Nothobranchius furzeri: one gene and its partners. The main gene of each other region encodes a partner of the protein of the gene in region 2 in a complex. Links are inferred from orthologs where the notes say so. Each region holds a gene or a part of one and is shown on either strand. Other genes may lie near its edges.

What was found.
Region 1: sf3b3 (region 2) and sf3a2 share a complex: the UniProt entries of both Homo sapiens proteins name them as parts of the 17S U2 SnRNP complex. The link is inferred for Nothobranchius furzeri from reciprocal best matches to the Homo sapiens genes SF3B3 and SF3A2.
Region 3: the proteins of sf3b3 (region 2) and ddx42 are in contact, whole or in part, in a cryo-EM structure (PDB 7EVN), measured with the Homo sapiens proteins. The link is inferred for Nothobranchius furzeri from reciprocal best matches to the Homo sapiens genes SF3B3 and DDX42. Residues at the interface, in NP_036558.3 of Homo sapiens: Glu159, Ala160, His161, Tyr211, His219, Val220, Val221, Arg222, Lys223; in NP_031398.2 of Homo sapiens: Lys145, Gly146, Ile147, Arg148, Asp149, Asp150.

Annotation. Positions count from the first base shown.
Region 1 is NC_091751.1:56,889,524-56,900,597, reverse strand, and holds sf3a2 (splicing factor 3A subunit 2), read right to left. Parts: upstream 7,548-11,074; 5' UTR 7,459-7,547; intron 6,720-7,458; 5' UTR 6,697-6,719; coding exon 6,499-6,696; intron 6,405-6,498; coding exon 6,358-6,404; intron 6,237-6,357; coding exon 6,127-6,236; intron 6,038-6,126; coding exon 5,988-6,037; intron 5,677-5,987; coding exon 5,536-5,676; intron 5,459-5,535; coding exon 5,390-5,458; intron 5,312-5,389; coding exon 5,060-5,311; 3' UTR 4,833-5,059; downstream 1-4,832. Other genes in the region: AP-2 complex subunit mu-A, read right to left, coding at 2,216-2,289; plekhj1 (pleckstrin homology domain-containing family J member 1), read left to right, coding at 9,905-9,998, 10,200-10,267, 10,342-10,408, 10,496-10,586. UniProt on the Homo sapiens protein: Component of the 17S U2 SnRNP complex of the spliceosome, a large ribonucleoprotein complex that removes introns from transcribed pre-mRNAs.
Region 2 is NC_091744.1:81,753,280-81,764,265, forward strand, and holds the end of sf3b3 (splicing factor 3B subunit 3), read right to left. Parts: intron 3,727-10,986; coding exon 3,583-3,726; intron 3,487-3,582; coding exon 3,382-3,486; intron 1,846-3,381; coding exon 1,705-1,845; 3' UTR 1,684-1,704; downstream 1-1,683. UniProt on the Homo sapiens protein: Component of the 17S U2 SnRNP complex of the spliceosome, a large ribonucleoprotein complex that removes introns from transcribed pre-mRNAs.
Region 3 is NC_091745.1:10,015,123-10,026,208, reverse strand, and holds the start of ddx42 (ATP-dependent RNA helicase DDX42), read right to left. Parts: upstream 5,720-11,086; 5' UTR 5,623-5,719; intron 2,337-5,622; 5' UTR 2,330-2,336; coding exon 2,118-2,329; intron 2,028-2,117; coding exon 1,877-2,027; intron 1,765-1,876; coding exon 1,709-1,764; intron 1,406-1,708; coding exon 1,369-1,405; intron 1,180-1,368; coding exon 1,027-1,179; intron 906-1,026; coding exon 801-905; intron 697-800; coding exon 577-696; intron 500-576; coding exon 323-499; intron 236-322; coding exon 107-235; intron 7-106; coding exon 1-6. Other genes in the region: strada (STE20-related kinase adapter protein alpha), read left to right, coding at 6,979-6,990, 7,385-7,442, 9,025-9,053, 10,272-10,374, 10,511-10,632, 10,775-10,883, 10,963-11,086. UniProt on the Homo sapiens protein: ATP-dependent RNA helicase that binds to partially double-stranded RNAs (dsRNAs) in order to unwind RNA secondary structures. Unwinding is promoted in the presence of single-strand binding proteins.

The DNA of each region.
Region 1 (11,074 bases), on a different chromosome or scaffold from region 2:
CTTTATTTAGATTTGGAAAAAACTATTTTGTAGCAAAAATTGGGGCTCAGTGCAAGGATGGCTCTGACGAGGGTCTGAGATAAACCAACAAATGCACCACAGATTAAAACTGTTGATCGATGACCTGATTACCTCCTGTGTATGAAAACGTTTTCAAAAGGCCACCTTTACAAGTAAAACCTCAAACTATACCAAAGATTTCCGAGAGAAAATGGAATTATCAGATCCCATGCTCAGACTCCATGCTGGGATACCAGAACAGCTGATTTAGCAACAATATTTCCTGCTGACATTAACTGAAAATAAATTCTTAGATCTGAGTTAATCTGCTGCATTTCAGTACAAAGCCATTTATTTACTGCTGTAAGGACTCATGCTTACAGGAACTGCTGGGTATTTGACCAAGGCATGCGGTTTAAGGTTCATGGGGTGACTGATCTGAGGCCATGAGAAAGGGGGAGAGGGGGTCATGCTTTAAACGCTGCAGCAGCTCTTACCTATTCCTACATGGGCCAAGATGAAACAGATGGGAGAGGTGATAGAGATAGGAGAAAAGGGATGAGGTAAACAGAAAGGAGAGACAAAAATGTACAATTGACATTTTTGTGCATTATGTAGACAGAGTGAGTAACGTGGTGTTTATTATTAGGGTGCTATTTTCACAATTAGGTACAGGAGGGAAAGGGCAAACAGCTTCAGACTGATAAAAACATGCTAGTTAATTTACACACAATTACAGAGGCATGAGGAATTTAATGCAGCGGTCAAGGAGCAAACCTAAAACATCTGGTTTGTGTTACACTGCTGCTGCAGCCAGGGGGACGAATACCTACGAAAACTACTGAAGCAACATCAATAAGCTATGAAATTCATGGATTCACACAACTATGCTTTTTCCAGCATAATGCAATGAAAATAAAATGAGCGGGTGTTTTAATTTTCTTTTCTTTTTTGGGTTCAGTGGAATTTTGTACAACACACAGTGGTGAAAGCACACACACGAGCAGATGTTTATTCTGGGAAAGCAAGGTGGAAATTCTACTTAGATCATATCCATAACACGTTGCACAAGAGCAGTGCAGACCTTACATTTGCCCTAACACAGCAATGCCTTTTTGTAAAATGAATGAAATTAAAAAAAAGTGAGTGGCTACATTTTTCCATCTATTGCTGCTCAGCACTGGTTGTGATGACTCAGCTCCGTTTTTAAACCACATTTCAGAATAAGTATCCAGCATGGGTTTCATTACATGTTTTAACCTTTCATAATAAAATTTTTAATGCAGGAGTTCAAGTCTTTCCTTTGAGGACCCCATAGCCCATGTCCAAGACAAGCCAGGACCCCAACCCCAACATGCATTACACATTAATGTGATCATTTACAAACTTTTATATGGAGTTCTGATTATACTGTAGGGTGTGTTACCATGATTTTCTAAATGTAATTTTTTTTTTTTTACAAATAAAATCTTGCCAACCTCAGCTAAGAAAATGCCCAGTAATCTTATTGGGACACCTTGGGGGCCCAGACCCCCAATTTGGGAACCCCTGCTCTAATGAACTCAGACATTTAAAAGAGCAAAGGTGAACAAATTAATTAAATTTACCACAGATGCAGCAATAAGATATTCTGCTCACAGACACGCCTCTTTTCGTTTAGTGTAAATGATTACAGCAGAAATAATTATTTATATATTTTGCTAACAAAGTAAAATATTAACCATAGCATTGTATAAAATAATGCATTCAATATTAATCATCAATACAGAAAGGTCTATTTTGCATTAAACAGTTTGACTTACAAGAGTGAGAAAATCACAAGTGTAGTCAAGTGTATTTGCAAACACAAATGTATTGAGGCAAAAAAAAAAAAAAGAAGAAAAGGAACACATTTTAGCAAATAAATTACTTGGTCAGAAGAAGAAAATGATAATTCAAATACTATCCCACCATGAGGAAACTGGCAGTGAAGCCAATTTGAATTTGAGCATTCCACACAGCTGCGTCTAATCTTTTAATTTGAAGGTGTGGTTTATGATAAGCACAAGGGAAGCAAATCATTGCCTCAGACAATAAAATTGTGTTGTTTCTTTGCAGAAACATGCCAAACACTAATTTAGCTAAACAGAAACCCATAATAATCCTCTCATCCAGAATCAAACCTAAACAGTCCACCCACAAGATTATCATCGCACATAATGTCTGAGAAACATACCCTATGTCATCTCGGTAGACGCGGGAGATGAGAACCTCTCCCTTGTGGTTGTAGATGAACAATCCTCCAATCATTGTGAATGCTTCTCAATCCCAACTTGCCATGATGAAACCAAACCCCTCCTGAGGATAAAAAAAAAGATTGAAATTTGGGAAGGAAAAGGGGAGATAGGAAAGTAAAAGCAGTGTAAAGTAAAAGTCACCCACAGTACAGAGAGGCACTTGTCCCTCGCATCCGTTTTCCTGTTTCTCTCACTCACACACTCTCTTGCAGCTGCACTACACCATTAGTGACTTTATTAAATCACTCATTTGCATAGCTGCACCAGCTTTTTAGGCAGCTTCACCTCTCTCTTTCTCACACACACACACACACACACACACACACACACACACACACACACACACACACACACACACACACTTCCAAATAAGATTAACAGATTAGCAGCAGCCACCGGTTTGGGGTAGGATGCTACCAGATAAAGATATAAATCTGAGATCATCATAGTCCGCTAAACCCTACCTAGACCTGGTAGGACTAACATCCGAAATGTACCATTTTTATCCCCGTGGGGATGTAAGTTTTTTTTAATTAAGTGTATTTTACTAATAAAACTGCCAGTTTAAAAAATGCTGCTTCTAGAAAATTTAGGATGGAAAAAGGACATCCATGGCATTCCTAGAAGGCATAACTGAAACACTTTTATAGAGAGTGTTGAGAATTTTCTTAAACAAATTACTACTAGCAGTCGTGACCGATTAAACCCTGCACCAAACCTGAATCGTACATTTATCGGTTTAGTCAAGATGTCTGCTCACTCGGGCCATTTACCAATGTTCATACATTTTATATATTTTTCTACCATCGATGTATAATCTTTTCCCTGTATGGTTTGTTTAAAACGTTATTTAAATGTATTAGCTCGGTTCAAAATTTGACCTTCAGTATGATCAAAGTGATGGAGAATACCCTGAAGACAGCGATGGCTAGCTAATTTAGCAGGCTAGCTGCCGACGATCCTCAGCGAGCCGAGCGGATTTTTAACGGGCTTCCGGTGGGTAGAAAAACTGAGGTTATCGCGTGTGTTACAGCAAGTTACAGTGACTTACGTGTAAACGATATGAATTACATAACAAACCAACTAAAACAGCATCAAAATGTTATGTGATGGCACGTTTTAAGCTTTGAAGGAATCTTAAAGCATGCTTTCCGTTATCATCAAGCTAACCGCGGCTAGCTTGACGTTAACTAGCCGCGGTTAGCTGAGGAGTTGCTAATGTTAGCGTCGTCAACGAAAGAGAGCGCTCACCTGTTTTCTCTGGCGGTTTACAGATCACAGTAAATCGTTTTTACTGCAAAAATACATGACTGAATCTCCGTTTCGTTAACTTACTCTTGTTCTTTCACGAACACCACCACTCTTTGGCTTCCAGGCTAGCCTTTGGGTGTATTTTATGTCCAACAGAATCCCTGCTCACAGCCGCAAATTCCGCTTCTTCCTTCCCCCGGTCCGCTGATGCCTGTCAGCTGACCCGCCGTCTTTACGAACGACTGTTCCGTTGTGACAGGAAAAGGCGTGGCTGGTGCGATGTGTAAACCGCACCCAGGCCTTGAAATGATAAGCCACGCAGGCTAATATTCGTTAATTGTCTGGTATTTTACAATTATATAGGTCAGCCTCCTTTACAAAAAATATATCAGAACATGTCAAAATATATTGACAAAATATGAGGTACGGACGCTGTCAGAATAAAAAAAAACGTAGTCAGGTTAAACTGTGCGCATATTGTTAAATAGATGTGCCTAACTAGAAACATAATTTCATCCCCCACTTGTGATTAAATGGGGCAAATGCTGTAAACGACTCTAGAGCGCCCCCCGTTGGTTACTCGTGTAAGGCAGAAAATCTACTGCAAACATGAGCTACAAAAATCGTGATTAACGATTCTTACAAATAGATTGTATGAAACATTATACAAATTCTGCTAAATACATAAACATAAATTCAGTTTGTCACATCTCCGAGGTGAAATGCCCAAACAAAGGCTCCAAACTGGGCCAGTGGCAGCGAAGGGTAAGGCGAACACTTTTGCAATGCCATGGAGCATCTTCGAAAGTCTTCTGCCAGAGAAAGCAATGCTGATGGATATCTTCAGAGGTCTTCATTGCAGCAGACTGGAGTGTCCACAGACACAGGACAAAGAAACTCTTGAATGATATTTGGCGTGGAGCACATCAAATTTTTTTGAGAATGTTCTCTAATCCATAGTTTGTGATTACCAACAGTCCTCAAAAGGTTTCCAATTGGGGTCATGGTCACCCCTGGAAACTTGGGTCACAAAAAAATAAAACATCTGTGTGTTCAGCAGAAGTTCATAAAATTAAAACATTTTATTTTAAAAAGATTTTATGAGTACATACACTGAATACATAGTCTGAATAATTGATACCAAAATGAAAACTGCTGTTAAAATATAATTCAAACTGATTTAGGCAGTGTTGAAGATCAATTTAAATACAGAAAAATCAATTTTGTTGATTTGTTTTATTTTAACCTGATCAGAGTAAACTTCAGATAATTCTCTGTATTTTTTGTAGAACAAACACTCAGGTATTTTCAGTATTTGTGTATTTTAATTAAAAAATGGACATAAGAAATAAAAATGTGTCCAGATATTAGTTTACAAGAGGACGATAATGTTTCCATAACATTTAGCTTTAGAATTTTATTTTTAGGCAAACAAAGTTATGAAAATCTACTGAAGATATCCAACATCCTAAAAATACAAAACAGGCAGAGCAGAACAACTGACCACCAATGCAATTTCTAACAGCAAATTATCACTGCATAAGGCCCTCTGGGGGAGGTGGCCTCATTGGCATGGGGGGCATGGGCATTTGTGGGGGCATTTGGGGGGGACCTGGTGCCCCGGGTGGCAGAGGAGGAACAGACATCCCTCCTGGTGGTGGAGGTGGAAGACCGTCGTTTGATGGGTGGCCACTCATAAGTGAAGCGGGGTGCTTTAAGTTGCCAGGAGGAGCTGGACCACCAGAAATGGCTTTCTCCATTTTAAAGTGGAACTGCAGGAAAAACTGAACGAAAACAAAACATTCATACATTAGAAAATTTTTTAAATTAGTTTTTTAGTAAAAACAAAGCAGAGTCAGTACCTGTTTAGTTTCCCTGTTCCAGTGAGTCCAGAAGCGGTTTTCTGCTTTATCAATTTCCCTGCTGGGGACCTTAAAGGAGCAAACATTTTAATGTTACGGAAATGTGACACATGAGCACAATGACAAAAATTACAGTTTTCATCCACCTTAAAGGAAATAGTTTCATATGGTTCAGCAGCAAACAGCAGGTACTGCCAGCGACGGTCAGGAGGCTCGATACGCTGCTCATAAGCAGACATGAAACGGTGCCTGGGTCCAATTCCTTCAGCAACCTCTGGATAGTCGATCTGATTAATATGGGAAATAAAAACAACTTGTCAGATGTTGTAACATCTGGTTATTATTGCCCTGATAGGAACTATAGGAGTTTGTTTTGTATCTGCAACGCATCTTCAAGTGGTGTCCACAATGGGGTCATACAATGGGAGCAAAACTGTTATATTGGGCTGGAAAATAATTAAAGTGGAGCTAAACATATGATGGCATTTAACTTTGGTTTCACACGAACAATAAAGCATAAAGCCTATTATCAAGTGTCTCAGATTCCCAGAAACACAGCAGGATTTTTCCAGAATTAAAATATATTTTTTATTTTCACCTGAAAAAGTAAAGACTGCTGACCAGTCTCTGGGTCCCTCTGTTTTGTCACTGTGAAAAAAAGAGAAAGACGAGGATCAAAAGTTGTTACAAAAAGCCAAATAATGTTGATCTAATATAGAACCATGCAGCCAGTGTACCTTTGTATCCTGGTCGACCGATTTTGACAAACTTCTTGACCTCAACTTTAACCTTTGCTGGAGCTGGTTGAGCCGGCGCTTCTTTTGCCTCTTTGGCTGCTCTTCGTGCTCTAAAACACCAAATAGAAAAGATTTAACTCAGAAAGAAAAAATTATACAGGAAAATGTTTACTGACAAATATTGAACTAGTAGCAATTAATTGTGTTAGAGAATGTTTTAGGTTGACTTACAAATTGGTCTGATGCTTCTTTCCCTGTGTGTGAGCCAAGTAGCTGCCCTAAAATCAAGTAGAGGGTTTTCTTTAGAAACACAATTCCCAAATATCAAAAATTCTAACATAGCCCAATCCAATCCGTTAAGTGCCTCCTCACCTCATTGTTGTGAAGTGTCAAACAAAGTTTGCATTCATAAGAACCTAAATGATTCTTCATAAAATAGGGGTCCTTGTTGATGTCGATGGTCTCTAGAGCCAGCTGACGTAACCGTTCACGCCTGTCCCGGTTACTCTCAGAGGCAGACGCCACCCCTCCACTTCCAGTCTTCCCTCCAGCTCGATGCTGGAAATCCATTTTTTTGAAGTGATGAACTCAGTCTAAAGACAACATAAACATATAGCATCAAAGGGACAGACCAAACATAATGTATCGTGTATTTCTTCAAATAAACACAAAACAAAAAACAGAAAAAGCCAGTTCAGTTAAAACTGAACCCCTGGTGTTTTATTTTTACCATCCCTATAAAACTGAGAAACATATGCTATTTCAAATGTAGAAAACATTCACAACTATAAGTACTGTACAAAGCAGTATGCACGTAGTAACACTATCATAAATATAAATTCAACAACTTTCATATAATTGCTGATAAAATGGTAACGCTATGTGTTACAGCAGCCAGAATGAATATCTGAGCGGCACAGTTCCTTAAATGTAGTATTAATAGTGAACATTAGTCAGGACTGTATATGTATGTATGCGTGTATGTGTTAAATCTATAACTCAAATCATAAAGACTTTCTTCCCGACACCCCTTTCATCAATTTATCAATTTGTCATGATTCTAGGTTGAAACGTCTTAATTTTTAATAACATAACTAGAAAATCCCTATATTGAACTATCCTTTCGCGCACATTTTACTGTTAGCATTTAGCATCGATGGACGTCGTTCTGACAATGCTAACAGTGCTACCATATATGCAAGGATAGTTTTAAACCTACCAAAATGAACAAACTATCAGAATGAAATTAAATATAGCCTAATCAATGTTTTAGCGTTACTGCTCAGCGAACTGCACAACAAAATACTAGCTAAATATTATAAATAAACTTACGTTCTCCCAAACAAATCTAACGACAAACTGTGATGGACAGAATTGTTTTGCGCATGCGTGTTGGTTCTCAGCTTAAGCAGTTCATAAATAGTTTCAAACATTCATTGCCATCTAGTGGTCAGGAGTAAAACTGACCGACGAACAAACGTTTGCGGATAAAAGCATATAATAAAGACCTAAGAGATTAGTTTATTTAGGAGTAAAGGGCTACATTTAAAATGTGAAAAATAAATTAAAAAAACGATATGAAACATTTGCATTTTTGTTTATTTATTTAATATGTTCTCTTTAATTTTGGATCAATTGTTTGTATTATTTCTTTTGCTATGGTTTTGTTTCCCAACTTTTATTGATTTTGTTGCTTTCACTTTTAGGGTCTGGATTTAAACTAATTGTAGATTTAGACAAGGTGTTGGACCGCATCTCTCGGGGGACCCTGTGGGGGTACTTTGGGAGTATGGGGTACCAGGCCCTCTGATAGGGGCTGTAAGGTCCCTATATGACTGGTGTCAGTGCTTGGTCCGCATTGCCAGCAGTAGGCCGGGTTCGTTTCCGGTGAGAGGTTGACTCTGCCAAGGCTGCCCTTTGTCACCAATTCTATTCATAACTTTTATGGAGAATTTCGAGGCACAGCCAAAGTGTTGAAGGCATTCATTTTGGTGGCCTAAGGATGGGGTCTCTGCTTTTTGCAGATGACATGGTCCTGATGGCTTCATCAGAACGTGATCTCCGTCTCTCACTGGAGCAGTTCACAAACGAATGTGAAGCAGCTGGGATGAGCATCAGCTCCTCTAAATCCGAGACTATGGTCCTGAGTCAGAAAAGGGTAGAATGCCTTCTCTGGGTCCAGGGATGAGATCCTGCCCCAAGTGGAGGAGTTTATACATCTCAGGGTCTTGTTCACGAGTGAGGGAAAGATGGCGAGTGAGATTTACAGGTGGGATGAGATCGTGTCTGCAGTAATGCGGACGTTGTACCGATCTGTCGTAGTGAAGAGAGAGCTGAGCCAGAAGGCGAAGCTCTCGATTTACCGGCCGATCTATGTTCCTACCCTCACCTTTAGTCATGAGCTTTGGGTAGTGACCAAAAGAACGAGATTGCAGATACAAGAAGCCAAAATTAGTTTTCTCTGCAGGGTTTCTGGGCTCTCACTTAGAGATAGGGTGAGAAGTTCAGTCATCCGGAGGGGCTCGGTGTAGAGGAGCCAGTTGAGGTGGCTCAGGCATCTGATTAGGATGCCTCCTAGATGCCTCCATGGTGAGGTTTTCTGAGCATGTCCAACCTGGAGGAGACCTAAAGAAGACCCAGGACATGTTGGAGGGACTATGTCACACGAATGGCAAGGGAACGCCTTGGGATTCCCCTGGAGGAGCTGGCCCAACCTGGGGAGGGCCTCTTAGCTTAGGCTGCTGCCCCCACAAGCTGACTCCATATAAGCAGAAGAAAACAGATGGATGCTTTTGCTTTGTCAATTTTGCTAAACCCATTTTTCACTACACTTAGCTCTCATGGAGCACGAGCTTTGAATTTGATGAGCTAGTATCAGCAGTTTAAACAGGCATAAAACCAACCAGTTCAACATTTGGTGTTATTCCAGTTATTTAATTTAACAAGGAATCTTTTCAATACTCTTTTCTCCCAATCATGGATTTTTAAATCAATGTGCTTCATTTTAAGTCTTGCAATATTATTTTGCGAATCAATTTTTATACTGCAACGTTTTGTCGTGGCATAGTAGTACTTTTCAGTTAAGAAAAAGAAGAACATAACCTGAACAGAGTGATGTTTGATTTTTTTCTAAAATGTAATAATTATTTTCATTTTAAAATACTTCAGGAAATATTTTGCTATATGTGCCACGGTTTAACAAAAGAAAATAGTAAGTCCTGTAAGAAAATAAAGTAATTTATAATTCAATGTTTATAAAACAATAGGAAAAACTAGAAAAATTATTTTGTAGTTGCAGGGCACGGGACAAAAACTACCTCAAGTAATGAGTAAATGTTTATTGTTCAGTCAGAAGCACTCAAACATATATTTAATGTATTTGAGGAACATAAAGTTTTAATATTAATCAGTGAACGTTTATAAAGTTATCTATCCAGACATCATGCAACTCCTCGCTCTTACGAGCCATTTAAGCGTTAGCCCACTAGGTGGCGAAAGCGTATTTCTATTTGGTTTAACAAGCACCGTTAAACTCTCCACTAGAAGAAGAACCGATCAGCGTTTCCTGTTTGTTTAGCAGATGCCGTTCACTTGACTTTACTTCACCCTGGAAATAACCAAACACTCTCCATCACGTTTTCAGGACATCGGATAAAGAATCAGAATAAGTCGACATGATAAACAACGAAACTACTGCATTTATATTATTATTTTAACTCTATTTGAAATGTTTTGGTCGTAGAGACTAGCAAAGGTGTCCCCCCTCCCATTTTACGCGATGCGTTTCAACGAGAGGGAGCTGGTCTCTCTGAGCCGCCAGCCTTCAGAGATGGCCGCTGAAATGGGAATGCGAGGTCCGAAGAAAGGAGACGGTAAGACCTGTTACTTTCTCCGTCACTTTTCACTTCCGCTTGGTGTTATTTTGGGTCATATCGGTGAAACTGATCATCTCTCTCTCTCTCTCTCTCTCTCTCTCTCTCTCTCTCTCTCTCTCTCTCTCTCTCTCTCTCTCTCTCTCTCTCTCTCTCTCTCTCTGTGTGTGTACGTGTACGCGCGTGCGTGTGTGTTTTCAGTTGTCAAGAGGCGGCTGGTGAAACTCGTAGTTAACTTCCTTTTTTACTTCCGGACAGATGAGGAGGAGGTTAGATGAGTTTTTTTTCTCTGTCCCTGATGATGAGCTGTAACATTTTAATGAGTTCAGTGTTTATTTTTCAGCCAATTGGAGCCTTGTTGTTGGAGCAGTGCCGGGTGGAGAAAGAGGACAGTCAGACCTTCTCTATTAGTGAGCCCCAGACTCCCTTTCTGTGTTGATTTCTTACAGGCTGATTGGCGGTGACATTTTGTTAATGTTGTGTTTGTCTCTCTGTAGCATTTCTAGATGAAACTGAGAAAAAATACGTGTTTGAGTGCAACTCCGAGGAGCAATGTAAGGAGTGGATAGACTCTATTATTAAAGCAAGGTAAAACAGACTTTTTAATTTTCCTTTTTGCTGTGATCTGCTGTTTAAAGAGCAAGTCACCCCCTACCAAAGTATTACTCCACTCCCACTTCCTGTTTGGTCAAATGCAACAAATGCTGTTGCCTAGCAGACTGAGAGGGCGGGGCCACTAACAAATCCACACACACACGCACACGCACACACACACAGGCTCACAACGACATTGTGACATCATATGGTACCAGCTAACGTTTTAAGGTACCTCTTAGCCAATAGGGATGGCAGATTTAAATTCAAATGCAGTGCTGAGTTTTTACCTGACAATGGCACAACACTGACAGTTTTAGGCAGAAAATTAAAATTTTAAATAAAGTGCTAAACTATTGACTACACGTGTCTGCAGCACAATTAAACGCACATTTAGTTTATCAGAAAAAATAAGTTGATTTGGGAGTGACTTGCTCTTTAAGATCAGTCCAGACTTATCTGACCTCAAGTGTACAGAGTAA
Region 2 (10,986 bases):
TTTACTGACCTTCCTTTGTGGTTTTGTTTCTATGAAAATCCACCATCCAGCCATTGTGTTTCACCGGGCTGGTTTAGTCTGACCAGGAGGAGCCTTTTGGGTTTCTCATCCCCGCAGAAGCTAATCATTACGTTCCCGCTGTTATGAAATTTAAACAAGCTGCTGTCAGCTGGAGCTGGAGCTGGAGCGCCGGGCCCATGCCGACATGTAAACGGATCCAAGTGCCAGATGGGTCCAAGCAAGCTCTGGAGCTACTTGTTGGACCACAGCCAGCAGCAGAAACAAACAATGGCACGTTTAGATGCCAAACTTTGGATTTTTGTTGGGAATATCCGTGGATACAAACAATGGTTAAAGCAAAAAAAAAAAAAAAAAAAAAAAAAAAAAACCTCTAACTAAATCTGTCGAGTTATTATATTCTGTCAAGGGCCAGGAGGTTGTTGATGGTGGTTCACCAGATGGTTTCCAGAGAAGTCGGTTTGTTCCGTCACCAACTCCAAAAAAGTAACTCATCTGATCCCATTTCATTGTCTGAAGTGACCTTTTGACCCTTAAACACAAGTTTTATAGAAATTTCCCTCCAAAAGTGGCTCAGCTGGTTGGTAAAGCGTGGTTTGGTCCTCAGATTTTATTCAAACAGGGGCTGTGCAGTGGTTAGAGCTGTTGCCTTGCAGCGAGAAGGTCCTGGGTTCGATTCCCGGCCTGGGATCTTTCTGCATGGAGTTGGCATGTTCTCCCTGTGCATGCGTGGGTTCTCTCCAGGTACTCTGGCTTCCTCCCAGTCCAAAAACATGACTGTTAGGTTGACTGGTCAGTCCAAATTGTCCTTAGGTGTGTGTGCACGATTGTTTGTCCTGTGTGTCTCGGTGTTGCCCTGCGATGGACTGGCTCTGTCCAGGGTGTACCCCGCCTACTTGCCCGTTGACTGCTGGAGATGGGCACCACTCTCACTAATGGCTTCGACGTCAAGGCCTTCAGTAACAGAAGTTACTTGTTCTGTGGGGGTTTGACATTTCCCCAGTACTTTGCAGACGATCATCAGTTTCTGGAAAACACTTCCTGATGTCTAATGGATGTAATGAGTTCCACACACAGACGAGAACATCAACAGGTTTTTTTTTAAAAACAACTTTATTTACAAAAACAGACCTCTGTCTCGTCCCACAAACCCCAAGTCCAGTGATTTAGTGGAATGCCATCTGTGGCCGAGGTTGGGACTTTACTCACCGATGGGAATGCTGCCCACTTGGTCTGAGTTTCTTCCTCCTTGTCTAATGACCCCGCCGGGCTTCCGTTGGCCCCAGCAGGTGGAGGTGAGGAGAGACGTCACCTCCACCTGCTAGAATAATGTTTCTGTATTCTAACTGATAACTGTTGAACATAATCACAACATAGAAAACCTGTTTTATTAAACGATGAAAAACAAACTAATATTTACATTTTTAAGCCTCGTTTCCCAGCAGCACCAAACTTTCCCACCAGATATCATCCAAATGATCTTGGTTGGCCGATGACAGACGGCTCGGGTCAGTATGAAAACCTGATGGTAAATTCTCTGTAATTACACCCGTAACCCGTGTGCCGTCTGTGTGGGAAGAGGAGGAAATTGTGCTGGTTAAACCGCAGAATCAGCTGACCGCTGCTGCTGCTGTGTGTGTGTGTGTGTGTGTGTGTGTGTGTGTGTGTGTGTGTGTGTGTGTGTGGTTAGAAGGCGTAGCGAGTACGAATGTCCTCCAGCTTCTTAGAAACTTCTGGAGGGGTCCGGTCCAGCTCCTCAGCCACACTCTTCTGTTTGTGTGGATCCATGCTGTTAAACTGCTCACAGAGATCTCCGTCGATCACGTTCTGTAAAAAGAAAAATCCTTGAGAGTTCAGTTCTACGGTCCCGGTCCTGACCTCTACATCACCCTTGTCCCAGAGGGATATCTGGTTTGCCGTAGTGTACAATAGGGTTGTCACGGTGTGAAAATTTACTTCACGGTTATTGTGACCAAAATGATCACGGTTTTCGGTATTTTTTAAACGTGTTACATTTTCAGACAACTAGATAAACCCTGTATATCAGGAAAATGTTGTCCTCAGTTTGTGTCTAAATTTAGCCTAAAACGGGTTACTTTGAAATTATGTTGTTTATTTACATTTTTTCCCTTTAGTCTTTAAAATACAATATTTGCCCATAACTTCTTATTTTTTGTCTGTTTGATGTCATCATTTAAAAATATTAGATCAGATGATACTCAGTACTCAAGTAGTCTTCTAATCCGATACTTTTTTTTACCCTTACTTGAGTAATAAACCCTATATCAGGAAAATATTGTCCTCGGTTTGTGTCCTTCCAGTGAGCTTTGCAGATGTGGGAAAATGTCATCAGGCAGTAATCGTTGTTAAATTCATAATTATTCTCGGAGAGAGACCAACTCTTATCTGCCCCTGGGAGCCTCGTAATGCATAGCGTCATTTCAACATGGGGGTGTCCGCGACACGGTTTATATGCAGGTAGCGGCGCTGCGGCTGCTTTATATAGCGACTCGTTGCATTCTCCCTCAACCCAAATCCTCGGATCACACATTTTAGCTAAAACGCTAACGTTAGCTTGCCTTGCGTTGACTGTAGAGTTGTGGGTGATGGTCATGCAGATGTGTCATGAGATTTGAAGCGTTGCTGCCTTTCACAGACACTTTTTCTGCACGTGCTGCAAACAGGATAGCCGTCTTCTATCAGCTGTCCCTCGGCATTCTTCAAATAACCAAAAAAAATGCCTGTACTTCCCACTTTGTCTTCTTTGAGGGATAATAAATGTCCTGAGCGCTGCCGTCTCCTCCTTTGGCCATTATTTCAGCTTTAGCTTCAAGAAAGTTTTGGTTGTAAACAACAAAGTGCACATGTGCCGCCAGCAACTTCAGCAGATGATACGGTGGCTGGTAAGGGTCACCGCGCCTACACCGCAGCCACGGTAACCCACCGAGATAATATAGTTTTTAAAAAACAAGACTGTTATTATTATTATCAACTTTTTTTACCGGGGTTTACCGCTACACCGGTTACCGTGACAACCCTAGTGTACACAATCACAAACGAAAAATAATCTCTAGATTATAAAGTGGTTCTGAAAGGTGAAACGCTTCAGCTCCAACCAGTCGGCTCCTAAAGGGCCGCTGGAGGTTCTGAAGCATCGCTCAGGTCTGATGGGTTCCTGCCCGGTTCTGATGCAGAGACCCAAAACCTCTTTTGTTCATTTACACCAACACACAGTCCATGGTCAACCAAAAGGACCATGAATAAAAAATGAACCAAAGTCTAAAAGATCCGGATGTAAATCCTGTTTGGAGTAAACGAGAATCGGGTCAGAAGTTTGATTCATCTTGAAATCAAAACACCAACCTTCACTGGGAAGTAGTAGGACCGGAAACTCAGATGATCTCTGCCACAAAGCGGAGGGAACTCTGAGCGCATGTGCATCTCCAAATGCTGGAAGAAGTCATGATCCTGGAGAAAAGGAGGGAGAGGGTTGGGAAGTTAGGAATGCTGACGAGTGGATGGAGGTGAATGATTTTGGATTGTTGAGAACAAAAGCCAGTTCACCTCGTGTGAGGTGAAGGGGACCAGAATGCCGATGCCTCCGGACAGCGTGGTGTAGACCAGAGACTCCGAGCCTCCGGGGATCAGAGTAGTTTTCTGCAGCGACAGCATGGTCTCTCCTACATGGTAGTTCATCACAACCTCAGCCTGCAGACACAGAAACCAGAGTTTGAGCTGCTGCAACCTGTGATTTTACCAGCTGGTTAAGGAGCCGACATGAAAACGGGTCGAAAGTGAAAAAGGTGAGCCCCCCAAGCATATTAAAGTGCCAGTGACTCGGGGCGTTTTGGATTTAAAAGCATCAAGCTGGTGAACTTTGTGGAAGAAAATAATCAAGCAGTTATTGAATAAACTAGAATGTAATTACAGGGTATATACAGCAATCCTTAAGTAAAATTTACTACTTTTTAATACTTTTTTTTACTACCTTCAGAATTTTTTTAAAACCATCACAACACTAAATTGCAAGTGTTAATCAGCGACCTATTTACACATATTTTAACATATATAACATACAAAAAGAATAGACTTAGAGACTCACTGATGTTGACAACGTATTGCACATATTTATTTTATTTAGAAAATAAGCCAGGCACTTCTGTTCAGCGGTTCAGACAGTTGAGCACGAGGCCTGAAATGATGCACAACGACCACTGAATATGACGTCATCATTATGTGACCGGATATGCTAAAGTAGGGCTGCTCGATGATGGCAAAAACAATAATCACGATTATTGTGACTGAAATTGAGATCTCGATTATTTAAGATGATTTTTCAATTTATGTAGATTTTTAAATTTTTTTTTATTCAGTCATAAAACTGCTCAGGGCACAATCAGGGCAAAAATAAACAAGAAACAAGATGATCACTAAATTAACTCCTGATTCCCAGTATAAAAAGACCAATATACTTATAGCTCATAGTTTATGACCCAAGGGCTGTAGACCTTGGTTTAACTCATTTAAGTCTAACCAGTACAGACCCAAATACCAATATCTTGCAAATACTGACAGCAAGAATTATACAGTGGCATTTATAACAAATAAATGCAAATTGCTGTTCACTAAATGTTGCATAACATTTATTGAGTCATGTCAAGGTGCTGTAGGAGCGTGCACTAGCACCGTGTCCTCAGAGAGATTAGTTATTTATCAGCGTGAGGAACTTATTTCTACCTTATTTATAAACTATTTATTTACAGGTCCATCAGTTAATGTAATAATTGTCTCAACCACAGCTGCACCCCCCACCGCCCAACCCGGTCTCACAGCAATCAGGGGCAAGATGTACATGCGTGTGTTTAGCGCGCCGCACGCGCACATTTAGCCGTTTTTATCGGCTCAGGAGTCCGCAGGTGCGGTGTGTGTGTCACTCACTCTGGTTACTCCAACAGGGAGCCGGCTCTGAGAGCTGTCTTTAGCGACTGACACATCACTACATCATTCCCTTTCCTAATGTCCTGAAGAACGGTCCGGAGTGCAGGCGGAGTGTTTAGCTAACCTGCAGGAAATGTCGACGACAGTTATCCAGAAAGTAGCTAAGGGTTACCAGAGATGTTTCTGAGGTGTTCCCTAGGTACTTTTAAGATTTAAAAAGTCAAAAAGGGGGTCTGAGAAGCTGTTAGAAATAGCATCAAAGTCGCTAAGTTAACTTGGCAACACTGGGAGGAGCGCTTCATTTGCATCTCAAGGCAGCGCAAGTGGGAGGAGCAAATTATCGGCTTGTTTTGTTTTTATAATCGTTCAAAACATTTCATTCGGAATATATTTCTATGTCGATGTTCAGAATACGACATCTGATAGTCTGAAAAAAATAATACCTAATTTGGAAAAAATAATACCTCTGAGACCAAATTTAACACTTTTAATGGCCTTAAATTTGACTATTTTTATTTATCACTTTTTAATACTTTTTAAAACCCCGCGGACACCCTGAATTAAGTATCTAAACATTTTCTTATTAAGCAGAAGAAATATGGCCAAACTCTGTACTGTATAAGGAGGGAGGGCAGACCTGGTCCTTGAAGCCGCAACGGCTGCATGTTTTCTACGTGTCCCTGCTCAGTCACACCCGAGTTGAGATTTTGGCTTTAACACAGAGCAGCAAAGTCTTCATTTACCTTCTGCTAACAAGTTTCTGCTCCTCTGAGAAGAGGACACGACTGAGACATGTTTAGCCACATGTCCCAGGGACGGACAGAGAGAGGACATCAGGTGATGGGGGTGTTGGTCTGGGGGTCTCCCACAGAAACACTTACGTGAGCAGATGTCATTTCCCACATTCTAGTGCTTTTTAACAGGTTATTTAATTACATTTAAATGATTGTTTTTAAATTAACAGCTTAAATCAATTATCACTGAAATATGATAAATAACAGGAAAAACACGTTGGGCACGATTGGTTCATCCGTTTGAACCCAATGGTCTCATATGAAATGTGACAAAGCACAAAGCAGGCTCTGCTGCTGAAAACACTAAAACCACAAAGAATCATAAACTTTTTATATTTAATAACAACAACACCAGCAGGAGGCTGTGGGCTGAATTAGGATTTAATGACAGCTAACCCCCCCCCCTCACTGACTAACCCTTCCACTACCTGTCCTTTGGGGACATTTTGACTTATCTCCTTATGTCCACTGTGTCTCTGAGGAGGAGATTATTAAAGCAAACAAGAAAAAAAACATCTAACTCAAAAGGCAAAGGTTTCCTCCCAATTTAACATCACGTCACCCTGGTAAAGTTCAGCAAGAACTCCTACAGGCTGACGCAGCAAAACTTTATTATTTCTCTTTGAAAAAAGAAAGAAGACGATCTTTTAAATAGCGCATCTCAAGATAATAATCACGAGGCGCTTCATAAAAAAACAGTTTTTTTAAAGATATCGGCCAGAGGAAAAATTCCTTTGAACGGCACGTGTACAGAAGTATTAAAACCTCAGATGAAAAAGGTTTTAGGATTTTTGCGGCTGGAATTTTAAGAAAATCTGATGTTTTTTACTGGCGCGGGAAAAACTGAAACTGACTTCCGGTCTAAGCCCTGGGCAGCTGGTGATGTTTCACAAGGCGCTCTGCTAAAACAGAGATAGTAAACAGCACCTGACTCTGGTGTTTCTGCGTTAGCGTTATAGCAGAGAACAACGTGCCATCAGTCAGATGTAGCTTCTGAAGCCTCTGCTAGCCGGTCAGATTTGGGTTTTTTTCCTCTGGGATACGGCAACGAGAACAGATGTTGGGTTACCAGAGACGTTAAACTGAACTCCGTGCCCTGCAGCTGGATATCAGAACCAGAGGTGCAGACATGCTTTGGACCATTTCATCCAGAAAACCCGCGGCCCGATTGGGACACCGGGGAGGATTCTGTTTGTCTTTGGAACCAAAATTGGTACAGTTTGTTAAAGTTTGTTAAATATTTCATGTCTGTGCTCCACCTGTAGCTTTCAGTTAAGTTCTCAGCTGATTAGCTCCATCATATTGTCCCAATATAATTCAAGTAGTGCTCGCTGCAGAACCACAAAGGCGGAGCTGCACCAGAGTCAGCCCCGCCCATTCCATCAGAGTCAGTCCAATTCCTTCCAGTTGTCAGACTTGACAGCATTCTGGAACCAAAGAGGGTGTTCTAGCTAATATCATCTAAAATGCAAGATTGAGGACGGAGTTGAGAGGTTAACTGAACAGTTTTTGTAAAGGTTCCATATAATTAAAAATCTAACTTTTGGAACTTTTTACCATGTTTTATTGTCATTTCCTCATAAGAAATACGCCAAAGCCATTTTTGGCCTCATTCATGCATTTTCCTCCCATCTCAGCTTCAGTTTGGTCTCCTCCTCCGAAGCGGGGCTGGTCTTGGTTCTCAAATCTGGATATTCTGTGAATTTTCTGACAAATTATTTCTGAAATGACTTCTACTGAGACACTGCCGGAAAAACCATACATCCCATCTCCAAGGACACTCTGGGTATAACAATTACATATGACGCCACTACCCTGTTATCAGATGTAGTGGTGAAGTGGTCATGGAGTCAGACTGGCGTGCAGTTTTGCGCAGGTTCGCCTACCAGTAGCGGCATCAACTTTTTATTCCTTTCTAGCTACACTTGCCAGTACTATATTTACAACCATTTATTGGTATACCGTTTACAATATAATGACTAATGTGTTTTTTTATTTATTTATTCGTTTATTTAGCCAGTGTGAGTCCATTTGTGAGCAGAGTTTCAACTAAAATGCTGTTTAGCAGGGTATATACAGCAATCCTTAAGTAAAATTTACTACTTTTTAATACTTTTTTTACTACCTTCAGAATTTTTTTAAAACCATCACAACACTAAATTGCAAATGTTAATCAGCGACCTATTTACACATTTTTTAACATATATAACATACAAAAAGAATAGACTTAAGAGACTCGCTGATGTTGACAACGTATTGCACATATTTATTTTACTTAGAAAATAAGCCAGGCACTTCTGTTCAGCGGTTCAGACAGTTGACCACGAGGCCTGAAATGATGCAGAACGACCACTGAATATGACGTCATCATTATGTGACCGGATATGCTAAAGTAGGGCTGCTCGATGATGGCAAAAACAATAATCACGATTATTGTGACTGAAATTGAGATCTCGATGATTTAAGACGATTTTTCAATTTATGTAGATTTTTTTATTTTGTTTTTATTCAGTCATAAAACTGCTCAGGGCACAATCAGGGCAAAAATAAACAAGAAACAAGATGATCACTATAATAACTCCTGATTCCCAGTATAAAAAGACCAATATACTTATAGCTCATAGTTTATGACCCAAGGGCTATAGACCTTGGTTTAACTCATTTAAGTCTAACCAGTACAGACCCAAATACCAATATCTTGCAAATACTGACAGCAAGAATTATACAGTGGCATTTATAACAAATAAATGCAAATAAATTGATGTTCACAAAATGTTGTATAACATTTATTTAGTCATGTCAAGGTGCTGTAGGAGAATACACCAGCACAGTGTCCTCAGAGAGATTAGTTATTTGTTATCAGCGTGAGGAACTTATTTCTACCTTATTTATGAACTATTTATTTACAAGTCCATCAGTTAATGTAATAATTGTCCCAACCACAGCTACACCCCCACCCCCAACCCGGTTTCACAGCAATCAGGGGCAAGATGTACATGCGTGTTTTTAGCGTGCCGCACGCGCACATTTAGCTGTTTTTAGAGGCTCAGGAGCCCGCAGGTGCGGTGTGTGTGTCACTCGCTCTGGTTACTCCAACAAGGAGCCGGCTCTGAGAGCTGTTTCTTTAGCGACTGACACATCACTGCATCATTCCCTTTCCTAATGTCCTGAAGAACGGTCCGGAGCGCAGGTGGAGTGTTTAGCTAACCTGCAGGAAATGACGACGACAGTTATCCAGAAAGTAGCTAAGGGTTACCAGAGATGTTTCTGAGGTGTTCGCTAGGTACTTTTAAGATTTAAAAAGTTAAGAAGGGGGTCTGAAAAGCTGCTAGAAATAGCGTCAAAGTCGCTAAGTTGGCAACACTGTCAGGAGGAGCGCTTCATTTCCAACTCAGGGCAGCGCAAGTGGGAGGAGCAAATAATCGGCTTGTTTTGTTTTTATAATCGTTCAAAACATTTCATTCGGAATATATTTCTATGTCGATGTTCAGAATACGACACCTGATAGTCTGAAAAATAATACCTAATTTGGAAAAAATAATACCTCTGAGACCAAATTTAACACTTTTAATGGCCTTAAATTTGACTATTTTTATTTATCACTTTTTAATACTTTTTAAAACCCCGCGGACACCCTGTTTAGGAACGACCAAATTCAAAGAACTTTTAGAGACATAAATATCTCGCAGAAAATAAACATTACAACTAAAATATAAACAAATTAAATGTTTCAGCTGACTAAATAGATTGCTGCCAACCCCACAGAGAGTCGAACCAGCATCAGCAGAGGGGAAAGCAAAACTTAAGTCAGACGGTCGTGCCATTGGACTACCAGAACCCATACGACAATAAGTCTTAAATGCTGTTGTACGGCGCTTTTGTTGGAGCGGCTGTGGGCAGATATTTTCTAAAAGAAACCTTTTCGTTTCTGGATATATTCAGGCTTTGTCATGTAGCGAGTTAGTTATCTTGTTTGATTGGAGCATAGAACATAGCATTAACGTAATTAGCGTGGGTCAGGTTAGTTTGCGATAAAGTTAAAAAACAAAAACAGAAGTCAGTGGGCTAGGCTGAGTTTGCGTGAATGGACGGGGCTGACTCTGGTGCAGCTCCGTCTTTGTAGTTCTGCAGCGAGCACCCTCTCATATAGCAAAAGACTCATTGCCCCGAAATGCAGAACTGACCGCCACAGGAAATCCTTTGTACCGGTGGCAATAGGACTGTTTAACTCTTCCTCACGCTGTAGGTGACTCTCCAAATACTATTACCTTGGTTATTCTGTGCCCTCACCGACTGTGCAATATTACCCAAGAGTTCTGATTGTAAATATGTTTTTATCCCCTCATCATATCATATGCTGCTACAAACCCATATTCTTTTACACAATACTTTAATCACTCTTGTGAATCGCCTGCACCGACGGCTTAATTACTTATTCACAAGGATGCAGTCATGTATTTAATTATTGAGATATGCGATTGTTTGTTTTGCACTATCCTACATGGTACTACTGTAGATCTCTTTTTTTAATGAATATATTGTATATCATATTTCTATTTCACCTGTTCCTTTGTCTCTCCGACTGCTTTGAGCATGTACATGACACAAGAATTTCCCTCGGGATAAATAAAGTTGTTCTTATTCTTATTATTATTCTTATAATTCAGGAATCTACAGATGAGTAAAATAACGTGGTGCCAGCTTACCGCTGTGTGTATTTATTGACATGACATCGGAAAATATTTAACCGATTGCTTACCAGAATAAATCTTCCTGATGCTAACGTGCTAGCTCGGATCGTTGTTGTTAGGGGACATTTGTAATGCAGCTTTTACCGTCACATATTATAAATAATTATAGTGGAGTAGTTACACAAGCCATATGTCCCACTTAGCCTGACCGAGGGTCAGGGTGGTCCCTTGAGAGTTGTTTGTGCTGATCAGCTCTTTTCCTTGAGTGGAAGACCGGACACACAAGGATGGGAGCAGAGCCGGATGAATAAACAGTCACTTCTTACATGCTTATCAAAGAATGTGCTGATGTGTGTGCTCTGTACTAAATAAAAGACGCTCGAAGGGGATGTGCTCTTAGAGATTTGTCGAACTCCACACTGGGTCGGTTTGTTCTTGGTTTTCACATTTCTCCCTCTGCAGAGTCAAATAAAATGTTTCAGTTTCCACCTGTGCTTGTGATTCACTCTAGGTAACCTGTGCAGCTAAAAATAACCCAACAGTTG
Region 3 (11,086 bases), on a different chromosome or scaffold from region 2:
GCGTCCCTGGGTAATAAGAATCAGAAAGAGGGGATTTTTTTACTTTCTGCTACAAAATACAAAGGATTTTGTTTAAAATGATAAAAGAAAAGCTGGTGTTACTTACTGGTGTGCACACAACAATTTCTGCTCCATCCTGCAAAGCCTTGGCCTGTTCCCACATACTGCCTCCTCCATAGACGGCCACAGAACGCAATGAGTAGGCTTTCCCAAAACGCTTACATTCTGCATGAATCTAGTAGTGAAAAATGAAAGATTCAATACAGAAAAAAAATTCCTCAACACGGTTGAATAATAGAGCCACAAATCTGAAGTTCCTTACCTGCTGACAGAGCTCTCTAGTGGGACACACAATGACTGCTATAGGCCCCTCTCCAGGTTCCAGCTCCTTCTGGTCCATGATGTGAACCAGCATGGGCCAGATGAAAGCAGCGGTTTTCCCGCTGCCCGTTTTGGCAATGCCAATCATGTCACGTCCAGACAGAGCAATAGGAACACCCTAATCAGAACAAGATTCGGGTTTATCAAACTTTACTTTCAACCACAAAGAAGTCTCGGTACGATCTGAAACTGTACCTGACACTGAATCGGCGTAGGCTGAGTATATTCAGACTTTCTAATTTGGTGCATCAGCTGCTCATCAAAGCCAAAGTGGGCGAAACTGGTGCAAGGTTTCGGAGGGGCGGCGCCGGATACCTGAAAGAAAAAAACAAACAAACCCACATTAGTCCAGACTGCATTTACTTTGTTTTCTAATTAGTTTAATTTATAAACAAGCATGAAAATAACAACCGACTTACTCTCAAGTTGAGTTTGTGCCGCAAGTCCAACACCTGAGTCCCAGTGAGGCAACCGAGCTCCTCGTGCTCGTTGTAAAAGTTTTTCTCAAATGGTGGATAGTCAATCTATGAAACAAAAGACCAGAGAACAGGTTTAAAAACCACAACTAAACTGTTTACTTTACACAGAATCAAAACACAAAGGGCTGTTTGGTTATCTGCTCTTGACTGCTGTTGTCAGCTTTACCTCAGAGTGGTCAATAGGAGGAAGTGGCATGATGATTTTCTTGGTCGCAGAAGGAATTGGATTTCCATCGCTATCATAGTCAATAATGTCTTCTTCTTCTTCTTGGGTGAGCCCAGCGGTGGGATTCTCTGCCATGTAGCGGAAGTAGGCTTCCTGTGGAGGATACAACATTTGAAGTTAGATGACAAATAGATACGCATTCATCGCAATTTTCCTCATTTGATGACGGATTAAAAAAAATCGTCCAACCACAAAAATAGTCCTAAATGCAACCGAGAGATGATGCTTTGTAAGATCAGAGGGAAAACGACTCTGATTAATAACTGTGGAGGGCTCACTCACTTGTTCATCTTCTTCTTCAATGTCATCACGAACACCCCTGGAAAAACAAGCGGAGAAAAAAAAAACTTCCCTGCAACTCGTTCGTACACCAAACACAACCAACAACCCAAAAACAACTTTAGGGCGCTAAATCTGCTTACCAGCTTATAATAACTCAGGTGCATGGCTCTTTTGTGACAGCAGAGGGAGCAACTCTAAAGGCTGCTCATGCTAAGCTAATGAAACTCCAACTAAGACTAAATTAGCTCACATTAGTGCGATTCGTAAAAAAATATGCGTGTAATGGTTGGGCTTTTGAACAGATTATTGGAGACCAAAATAAACAAATTAAGAGTCTTACTTGGACAACTTTTTCTCCTTTTCCTCGAGTTTCCTCATGTCTTTGGCTGCTTGGTCCTAAGCAAAAAAGAAAGATCTGTTAAAGATACATTGCTGTAAGCTTCTGTGTAACACCTGCTTTAATTTTATTCGTAGTGCACAAATGGAACAGCGGCTACAATTTTCGCACCTCAACTTCTGCCATGAAGGCATCCAAGGGGTCATCTTCGCTATCAGAGCCACCACCTGACTTCATCTGCTGCCGTGTGGGGGAGTTCTCAGCTGGAATGTACGGAAGATCCACGTTGCTGCTGGACTCCTCTTCATCGTCTTCAAAATACCTGGTCAAACATGAAAAATACAAATTTCATTACTACATTAAACAGGTCCAGAGATAACTGACACATTTATCACCGACAGTTGGCACTCACGCATTTTCCTCATCAAAATTAGCTCTTTTTGTCCCTATTTTATAGAATGATGGGAGCTGCTGGTTGTTCCCGTATCCTCCACTTGATCCTGGAGCTCCAAATGTTGTGTGAGTCTTCTGAGGAAGTTGAGGTTCCTCTTTCTTCCCTGCAAGGGAAAAACCTCCAAACCCAAACCCTCGCTTGACACCTGGGCCACCCTTGTTCCAGTTCATGGCTGAGCTGTGGGGGAAAAGACAAACGTAAATGTCCCTTCACTTACAAAACCCTTCTGAATTCATACATGAATAATGTTAAAATTGTCAACTTTGGTCAACAGTAATAAAAACAAGGAGCAGATGGAGAGGGTCTGCAACCTGCAGCTCTGGGGCCTCATATCGTTTAGTTCAGTGGTTCCCAAACTTATTTAGCCGCGCACCCCCTTCTATGTCCCGACCATGTCGACACCCCCCAGCCCCACATCAGGGCATCTCTCTCTCTCTCTCTCTCTCTCTCTCTCTCTCTCTCTCTCTCTCTCTCTCTCTCTCTCTCTCTCTCTCTCTCTCTCTCTCTCTCTCTCTCTCTCTCTCTCTCTCTCTCTCTCTCTCTCTCTCTCTCTCTCTCTCTCTCTCTCTCTCTCTCTCTCTCTCTCTCTCTCTCTCTCTCTCTCTCTCTCTCTCTCTCTCTCTCTCTCTCTCTCTCTCTCTCTCTCTCTCTCTCTCTCTCTCTCTCTCTCTCTCTCTCTCTCTCTCTCTCTCTCTCTCTCTCTCTCTCTCTCTCTCTCTCTCTCTCTCTCTCTCTCTCTCTCTCTCTCTCTCTCTCTCTCTCTCTCTCTATCAGATGTCAAGCTAAGCTGACAGGGTTAAAAAAAAATTCCCCATCACTTTCATTTTTTAAATAGTAATTAATAAACATTCGATACCATTACAATTTCCTTTGATTTCATTTTAAATAAATATTTAGAGTGCCCAGGTAGCACATAAACAATGCAATTTAACGGTTTTCTTAAAGTAGGAACGTTTAACCTGTGCGGCCAGAGCGCTCTCCTTCCTTCTGCTCTGCATAAACCTGAGCTGATCACCTACTTATGCGTAATCAAATGTCTATAGGGGACAAGATATAGCCATGATGTTCACTTTTACCTCAGACCGACTTATTGCTGTTTTATGGTGTGGCTGAATCTGCGATCCGCTGTCATGCTGACTGGAATAACAAATGCTGCAGTAAAAGGACTTGTGGTCAGGTTCATGAGGAGTCACTGGCTGGAGCGGACCCGACTCATCCCAGAAGCTAATATCTTAATTTGACCTTGAATGAAAAATAACCTCTTAAAAGTTTTTATCACGGTGGAGGCAGCGTTCATTTCTGCCTTCAGTCTGACGGCGCGCCGGAGTTAAAGCAGCGTGCGCGCTTATTGAATCTGTGTGTGTGTGCGCGCGCGGCACAGCCGCTCAAGTCACCGCGCCTCGTTATTGGCGCTATAAACCAATGTTGTAAAATTACTTCTGCCCAGCCCAGATGTGCTCACATGTGCACCCGTGAGCCGTGGTTCCGCTGGAACGCGTCTGACTTCTGACAGACGCACTCTGAACTTCAGATCTTCAGCGCGCTGTCAATAGCCTGAATGGGAATCATTTCCACAATGTTCTGTGTGTGAGGTTTACAATGTCAGAACACCTGCATGAGACAGGTGTTAATTACAATCTGCCAGAATGACTCGCCACCTTCAGATTTCTCCAACACCGTTAAAAATGATCAAATACGGAACATATCGGCGTGCGCAGGCCAGAGTGCTGAAGCTCGACGCATTCTTATTATGAAGCTAGGGCACATGCGGAGGACACACGCGCGCGCGACGGAACATATCGGCGTGTGCAGGCCAGAGTGCTGAAGCTCGGCGCATTGTTATTATGAAGCTAGGGCACATGTGAAGGACACGCGCGCGCAAAAATATACTTGTTTTCAATGACATTTATTGGGCCCACTTACTTTTTCTTCGGCCCACCCACAAATGAATTTCTACGCTAATGGTGACACATGACAGACTTCTCTGAGCTCCGCAGCCATTACACTTTTCACCTCGCGCACCCCCTAGCGGCAGCTCGCGCACCCCCGGGGGTGCGCGCACCACACTTTGGGAATCCCTGGTTTAGTTCATCTGCCCCTCGGAGGAGACTTCTGGTATCTTTGACCAAGAATCACTTCAAGCTGATGGTTTTATTTAAACCAAAATCGTAGTTTAAGCCAGAGGCTGACTAATATGGTTTTTAAGGCCGATACCGATTTGTAAAGAATTTTGTTGTAGATGGCCGATATCTGAAGCAGATTATTAAGGCCTATATATATAGGCCTAATATATATATATATATATATATATTATATATAATATATGTGTATGTGTATATATATAATATCATATATATATATATATATATATATATATATATATATATACATATATATATATATGTTTTAGCAGCACATTGATTGTGAAAGACAACTGAATAGTCAATGTGTGCAATATTAATTAATAGCCAATAAATCTCTCAATATATATTTCATTTGAAATATTTTAAAAAACCTAAAAAAACTGTGTTGGGGTTCGTTGGGTCCTTTCTTTAGTCTAGAAGTGGCGGCAGTTGGCCACACAGACGGCCTTAATAAGGCCACAGGTGGCCGTCTTAATTTCTAGAAAAAACTTGAATTTTTATCAAATGCTGGAAGTATAGCATGTAATCTGTATAACATTTATGTTTACAAGACAGGGAATCAAACAGATTTGTTTTGAGCATATGTTCGCATGTAAATCACCATGGGTGCAAGGGTGCAAAAAATATTGAAACTCACCTAAAATGTGCTTAATTTTGATTTTGGCTTGATCGCCGCTTAGCAGTGCAAAAAGTGTAAAGCTTTGAACAAAATCTAGTCATCTAAAAACATTTTTTGGCCAATCACGTTTATATATATATAAAGTAAAAATGACACATAGTAACTTAGTAGAATTAAAGACTAAACGTTAACGATTGGGTTTTAGTGGTTGTTTAGTAAGTCAGATAAAGACTACACAAACCGTGGCTCTAATTCACTCTGCCAGTAAATCAATAACATTCAGATTCATAAACAACAACTGGCACCAATTTAATATTTAAAAGAGAGTTTCATGTAAAATAACGTATTTTCACCACTCGTTCAACCGGGAAAACGAATCGAAACGACTCGTCGTTTGTAATACCATTACATATTAAAGTCCAAAGATGACAAAACGTTGTGTTAATTTCCTTTCTGACAGAAAACCAGCGCGAATAAATAACTTTCGGGATCTACTAAATCTGCTTAACACGAACAGAATGTTAGCATTAGCTGAAGGCCGCGCTAAGGCCGAGGTGTATGTGCGTAGAAACACTCGATGTTGACGCAAGTCTCTCATTCTTCTGGTACGTCTGTAAAAAGTGGCTGTATAGTGTAACAATGTTTAACAACAAAAGATAAGAATTTTTATGAAAACAGCCATTAGTGTACATTTGTTTACCTTCTTTTGAATGTAGTAAATAAAGCTCCTGTGGCGCTAGCATACGCAGTGGTGAATGCGTCATCAACACGCGCGGACGCTCCGTGGGCGTGTCGTCGTCCGTGCGCGACAGAGAACGTTGAGTTGAAGAGAATGGCTCGATAAATAAGGTTTCATAAATTTTGTATTAGATCGTTGTTTTTCACATGAAATAGGTAAGTATTTATACTGTTTAAACAACGCTGTATATGTTTGTTGAAATACGCGCCGACAGCTGCAGCAGCTGACGGTGGTTTGTTGTTGCTAGCCAGTTCCACGGCGAGCTAAAACTGACTCAACAATACCTGTAATGGTTTTGTGTTTTAATGGTGAGCTTTTATAAGAAGCATTTGCTTAAATATAGGGAATTATTCCAGATATCTGTGCTGCTGTTTAACGTATTGCAAGACATAGAATGGAAATGGGTTTATGCTGACAATTGTTGAATTTTTGTCCTAAATAATAATAATAAATTACAAATTGTTGGAATAATCTTTCTGTCAAAGTGCGTAACGATTTCATCCTCATTAAGAGGTGTAAAGTAGGGGTTCACTGATTTATCGGCCCTGATCTTGGGTATTTTTCAAGATTGTTTATCGGCCAAAAACTGCAATTGGCGCACCCCTAGTTAGTGTTAAAGCAAATAATTCCTATTTTTTGGGACGATTGTGTCAAAACAGGTACAAAAGTTTTGTATTTAAAATTATAAAAATGAAAGTCTAAAGGAACAAATGTGATTTTGTAGTTCAAACAGTAATGTTAAATATGTTCATTAATATTTGATATAAAAATAATGATTTTCTCAATAAAAGGAAATTGAAACTTTGACGTAATCTGCTTAAAGTTAAGACAACATTGGTATCGGTATTGCAAGTCAGGTTTTTCCTCAAGATCGGCCAAAAACTGCAATCAGTGCACCCCTAGTGTAAAGTATTCATCCACTGTGTTTTTATTAAGTTTTCTGTAAACTTAAAATACTGACTCAGCAGTTCAGGTAAACAGATCACTCTTTATGTTACAGAAACAACTAAAATCTATCAGGGATATTAAAACAGGTCAAACTAGCTTCATCCTGTTCAGAGAAAACCCATGATAAATGACGAATTCAGCTTGGATGTTCTCAGGAGCCCTAAATATAAAAAATACAGCATTTTGATCGTACACAAGTCTGAAAACATTTTTATTGGACAAAACTAAATGCAGAAATACATATTAATGATAGTGAAACAGAAATCTGTAGTTAAATGTGGAAAAAAGCAGAAAAAGATCCTCGTCATAGATTTTTCTTTTATTTTTACAGATTTTTCAGCATCGCATGTAACAAACTCAAGTGGATCGATGTCTTTTCTTGTAAGTGTTTGCTGAGTCATTCCACACACACCGGCCCACAGGGCTGCTAGCCCAGAACACGATTAACTTTCATCAACTTTATGGAATTGTTACCAAAGATTTCCAGTAAATTTAATCAGTTCCCGAAGAAAGATTTTATTTACACAATGTTATTTAATGTTAAAGTTTATACAATACAAACATATTTTTATTTGTTTTAATTATATTTTTGTGGCTTTTTTCCTATATAAGAAGATACAAGAATCTTGCTCATCTGTAAATTAAGTTCTCATCATTAACACCTGCAGTCACCAACAAGAAATACTTTCTCTTTGTGTTGCTCTAAAATATTTTCTTACTCTTGCTTGCATTTCTCTCTTTTTCATGCTTGTTATTAACCCTCTGTGTCTGTCAGCGTTGGGTATCTGAGAAATTGAGTGTGGAGAGCCTGCGGGATTTGGAGTTATTTGGAGGTGAGGTTCAAGTTTTTAACGGGGTGTTTTAGCATGCTCAGTTACTTCCGGCAATAGCTTTTATTTCCCTTGAGGAGACAAAAAAACAAACAATCCAGTTGGTGTGCGCTATCCTTTGAGTGCTCGCTGTGCTCTGCTTTCAGATGCCATCATAAATGTATCGCTCATCATTCTTGTCTAACCTGTCTTGGTCTGCATCGTGCCATTATTTCTGTTCGTCTCAATGTTCGATCAGAGAATTTTAAACAAAAATCACCTGCTAATTAAAATCTTGTGCATGCTTGTTTAGGAGAGAAGGTAAGGAAAACATTAAAGGAATATATAGAATTATTAGAAGGTTGCTCTCATTTTACAGGTGAAGTTTAGTTTGAATTAAATTTAATAATTTTATATTCAGAATTGTTGTTCTCTTTCTTCGGATGTTCAAATCTCTGCCATTGGTGCAGTCACAGAATATTTTTAGAGACTAAAAGTACATTTTTAAAGAACCAGAAGCGCATTTTTTTTAAAAACAGCGATCTAAAAACCATATTTCACCCGGTGTCTTTAAGTCTACCTGTTGAGCTTATTTGATAATTATTATGATTTGCTAAGTTAAGGTACACAGATGGCTAATTTATGATATCTAAGTCCAGAGGAAACTGTTTCCTGGTTAATGCGTGTTGTTGTTTCTTCACTGAGAAACAATTTTTACTTATTATTTTTTTAAAAGATCGGCCACTGAGATTTTCATGCAGGCTGAACATGAAAATAGTCTCCTACACCTAACTCCTGCTTTAGCTTCTGATAGAAAATCGATGGTGAAACTCCAGGATTAGAAAATCCTGACAGATCTACGTCACGCTGTCACTTAACACTCATGGACTCACCCATCTCGACTCACGACGAGGAAGGCTGTTGTTGGTTTAGCGTCCAGGAGAGAGCAGAGAATGCCTCGGCCACCACACAGCAGAACTCCGCCAGGCTTGTGTTTTTAGTACAGATAAAACATCAACACTGGTAAGCAAACAGTCTGTGGTAGAGCTGCGTTGCTGTTAGCCAATCAGAGGCGAGACGTCCAAATAACTGGAAATAAGACTCCAAAATCCTGTTTTCTGAAGTTACTTTTGGTGATATTATTTAGGTAAACAGTGTTATTATTATTATTATTATTATTACTTTACAGAAGGCTTTCAGTATTGTGCAAACTTTAGTTTTCTCATTTTTTTGTTATTCCATTTGTAAAATTCCCTGGTTTTCATCTTTGTTATGTTTGCAGGCCGTTGGTAACTCGTGCACGTTTGTGCAGCTTCGGTTTTGGCTGTGCTCACTTTCTGTTGCCTGGCTCTTTAAAGGACTTGCGGAGTAGCTGCTATAAATCAGACTTTCTACAGACTGGTGTCCTTAATGGTAACATGACCCTGCTGCTCTGTGTGTGGCCACATGAACAACAAAGCTGCTTGTCGTGACAAATGCCACAACGCTAACCCTGACATCCAGAGACAGAGCCTACCAGCTCTAAAAGCCCCTCTCAACGCAGACCCTTCTCTTGTTGTCGTTGTTTACGTGTTTTTGTGTCATTGACTTGGTTTTTCTGCCCCAGAGCAAGCTCAGGGACTCTCACACAGGAAAGTAAGTGTGGTACTCCTGTCACTGCATCGTCATCCTCACGTGCCTTTTGTGTCTGTGCATGCATGCACTTATACCGTATGTATGTGCACACTAGGATTTCTATATGGAGAAATCTACAGCCCTCCCAAGGCTTTGCACATGTATGTATGCATGAGTGCCCAGCACATGACACATGCTGCTGCACATGCTTGTATAGCTGGGCCTTTTGGTCACTCACGGTAGCGCCTGCTGCTTATTCAAGTTGTTATTCCTCACAGAGAAAATAAAACTAATTTGTCATGTGAGTTAAACGTGTTGCTAACACATGCTGTGCTCCATGCAGCCGCTCCGTTTGGGGTTTGGATGTTTTTTGGAGCTCCACTGAAAGTTTCGACCCTTTTGGTGTCGATGAAATGTTCTGTATTTGCTGTGTTTTTCTGTGTAATGACTGGCAAGCAGACAGCGTTCCTGCAGCCTGTAGATCAGTGGAGTTCGTGGTGGAAGGCCCTGGTGATTCAGATACTCTCGAATCAGCGGCTGTCTCGGCATGCTTGGCCTCTCTGCTGTGACGGTTATAATGTTAACTTTGAGTGGGGGGGGTGCATAAAGCCAAAATATCTAAATGAACATTCACTGGAATCATCAGCACGTGGAACAAGCTTTGGTTTTACCCGCAAAGGTGAAGTTGGCTCTTTTCATGCTGTAGGCTTCTTCTCATTTTGGTCGCCTTGGAAACAACTCAAGCAATCATTCATTTGCCTTCATTTGCCCCCACAGCTCGCCGCTGCGGTTGGTTAATTTCCATCACTTTAGTGATAACGTGATGGAATTCAGGAGTCCTCACTGCCAACAGTTTTACCGTTTCCTGTCACATTTTTTAGGATGAGTAAAATCATTTGTCGTTGACGAGTTGAGCACAAGCTTCACGTTTCTTTTTAATAAAACATTAGTTTGTTTTTTTTTTTAATAGAAAAATCACAATTTTCTCTGTGTTTCACTAATGTTGTGCCTTTCTGAGGCTCTGGGCTACTCTTCACTGTTTAGCAGGACTTTTAACCTGATCACTGAATCGTTTTGGACCAGCAGTTAGTTTTCCTGATATTTATCATTTCACAGATGATTTGGGTTTCATTAACGCTGTGGTATTACGTCAGGCTGCTGTTTTAGTGACTGACCCAGGAAGCCCTTTTTTGAGAGCGTCGGGACATCATTTGGCTATTTCTTCCTCTCCTCCTCCAGGCTCATGAGGACAGTCAGGAGAGTCTGACCTCTCTGCCTCATCCAGACAGCATGGGCAGCTTCCTCCCTGACAGCAGCTCCTATGAGCTCCTCACAGTTATTGGTAATTGCACACTGAGGCACGAGCAACACGTTTTTACTTTCCTTTAAAAAGCAGCCGGATCTGTGCCACCAACAATTCACTATGAACTTTATCATTTAGAATTTAAACCTAAACAAAGTCAGTGTGTGTTTTGAAGGGAAGGGCTTGGACGATTTGATGACGGTGAATATGGCTCGATACAAACCCACCGGGGAACACGTGGCCATTCGGCGGATCGACTTGGAGTCGTGCACTAATGACATGGTGACCTATCTGCAGGTCTGCATCATTACTGGATCCTATGGGTCTCTTCCTCTGCTTTCCTGGGAACTCCTTCTCTTCTGTCTGTATTGCACAACTTCTTCTGACTTCTGTCGGGTTACCGTTTTCTAAGATGCATTTCTCTCTTTTTTCCCACTAGGGGGAACTCCACGTGTCAAAGTTGTTCCATCACTCTAGCATTCTACCATACAAGAGCGTCTTCATAGCTGAAAATGAGCTGTGGGTGATCACACCATTCATGGCGTACGGTAAGGAAACGGCTGGGATGTAACGGAAGCATCTTGTGTGAATGGAGGGTGACTTGTGTGATTATGTTTCACCTCACAGGATCGGCTAGAGACCTTATCTGCACACATTTTACAGACGGTATGAGTGAACTGACCATTGCATACATCCTGCTAGGGATGCTCAAAGCGCTGGAGTACATCCACCACATGGGATACGTCCACCG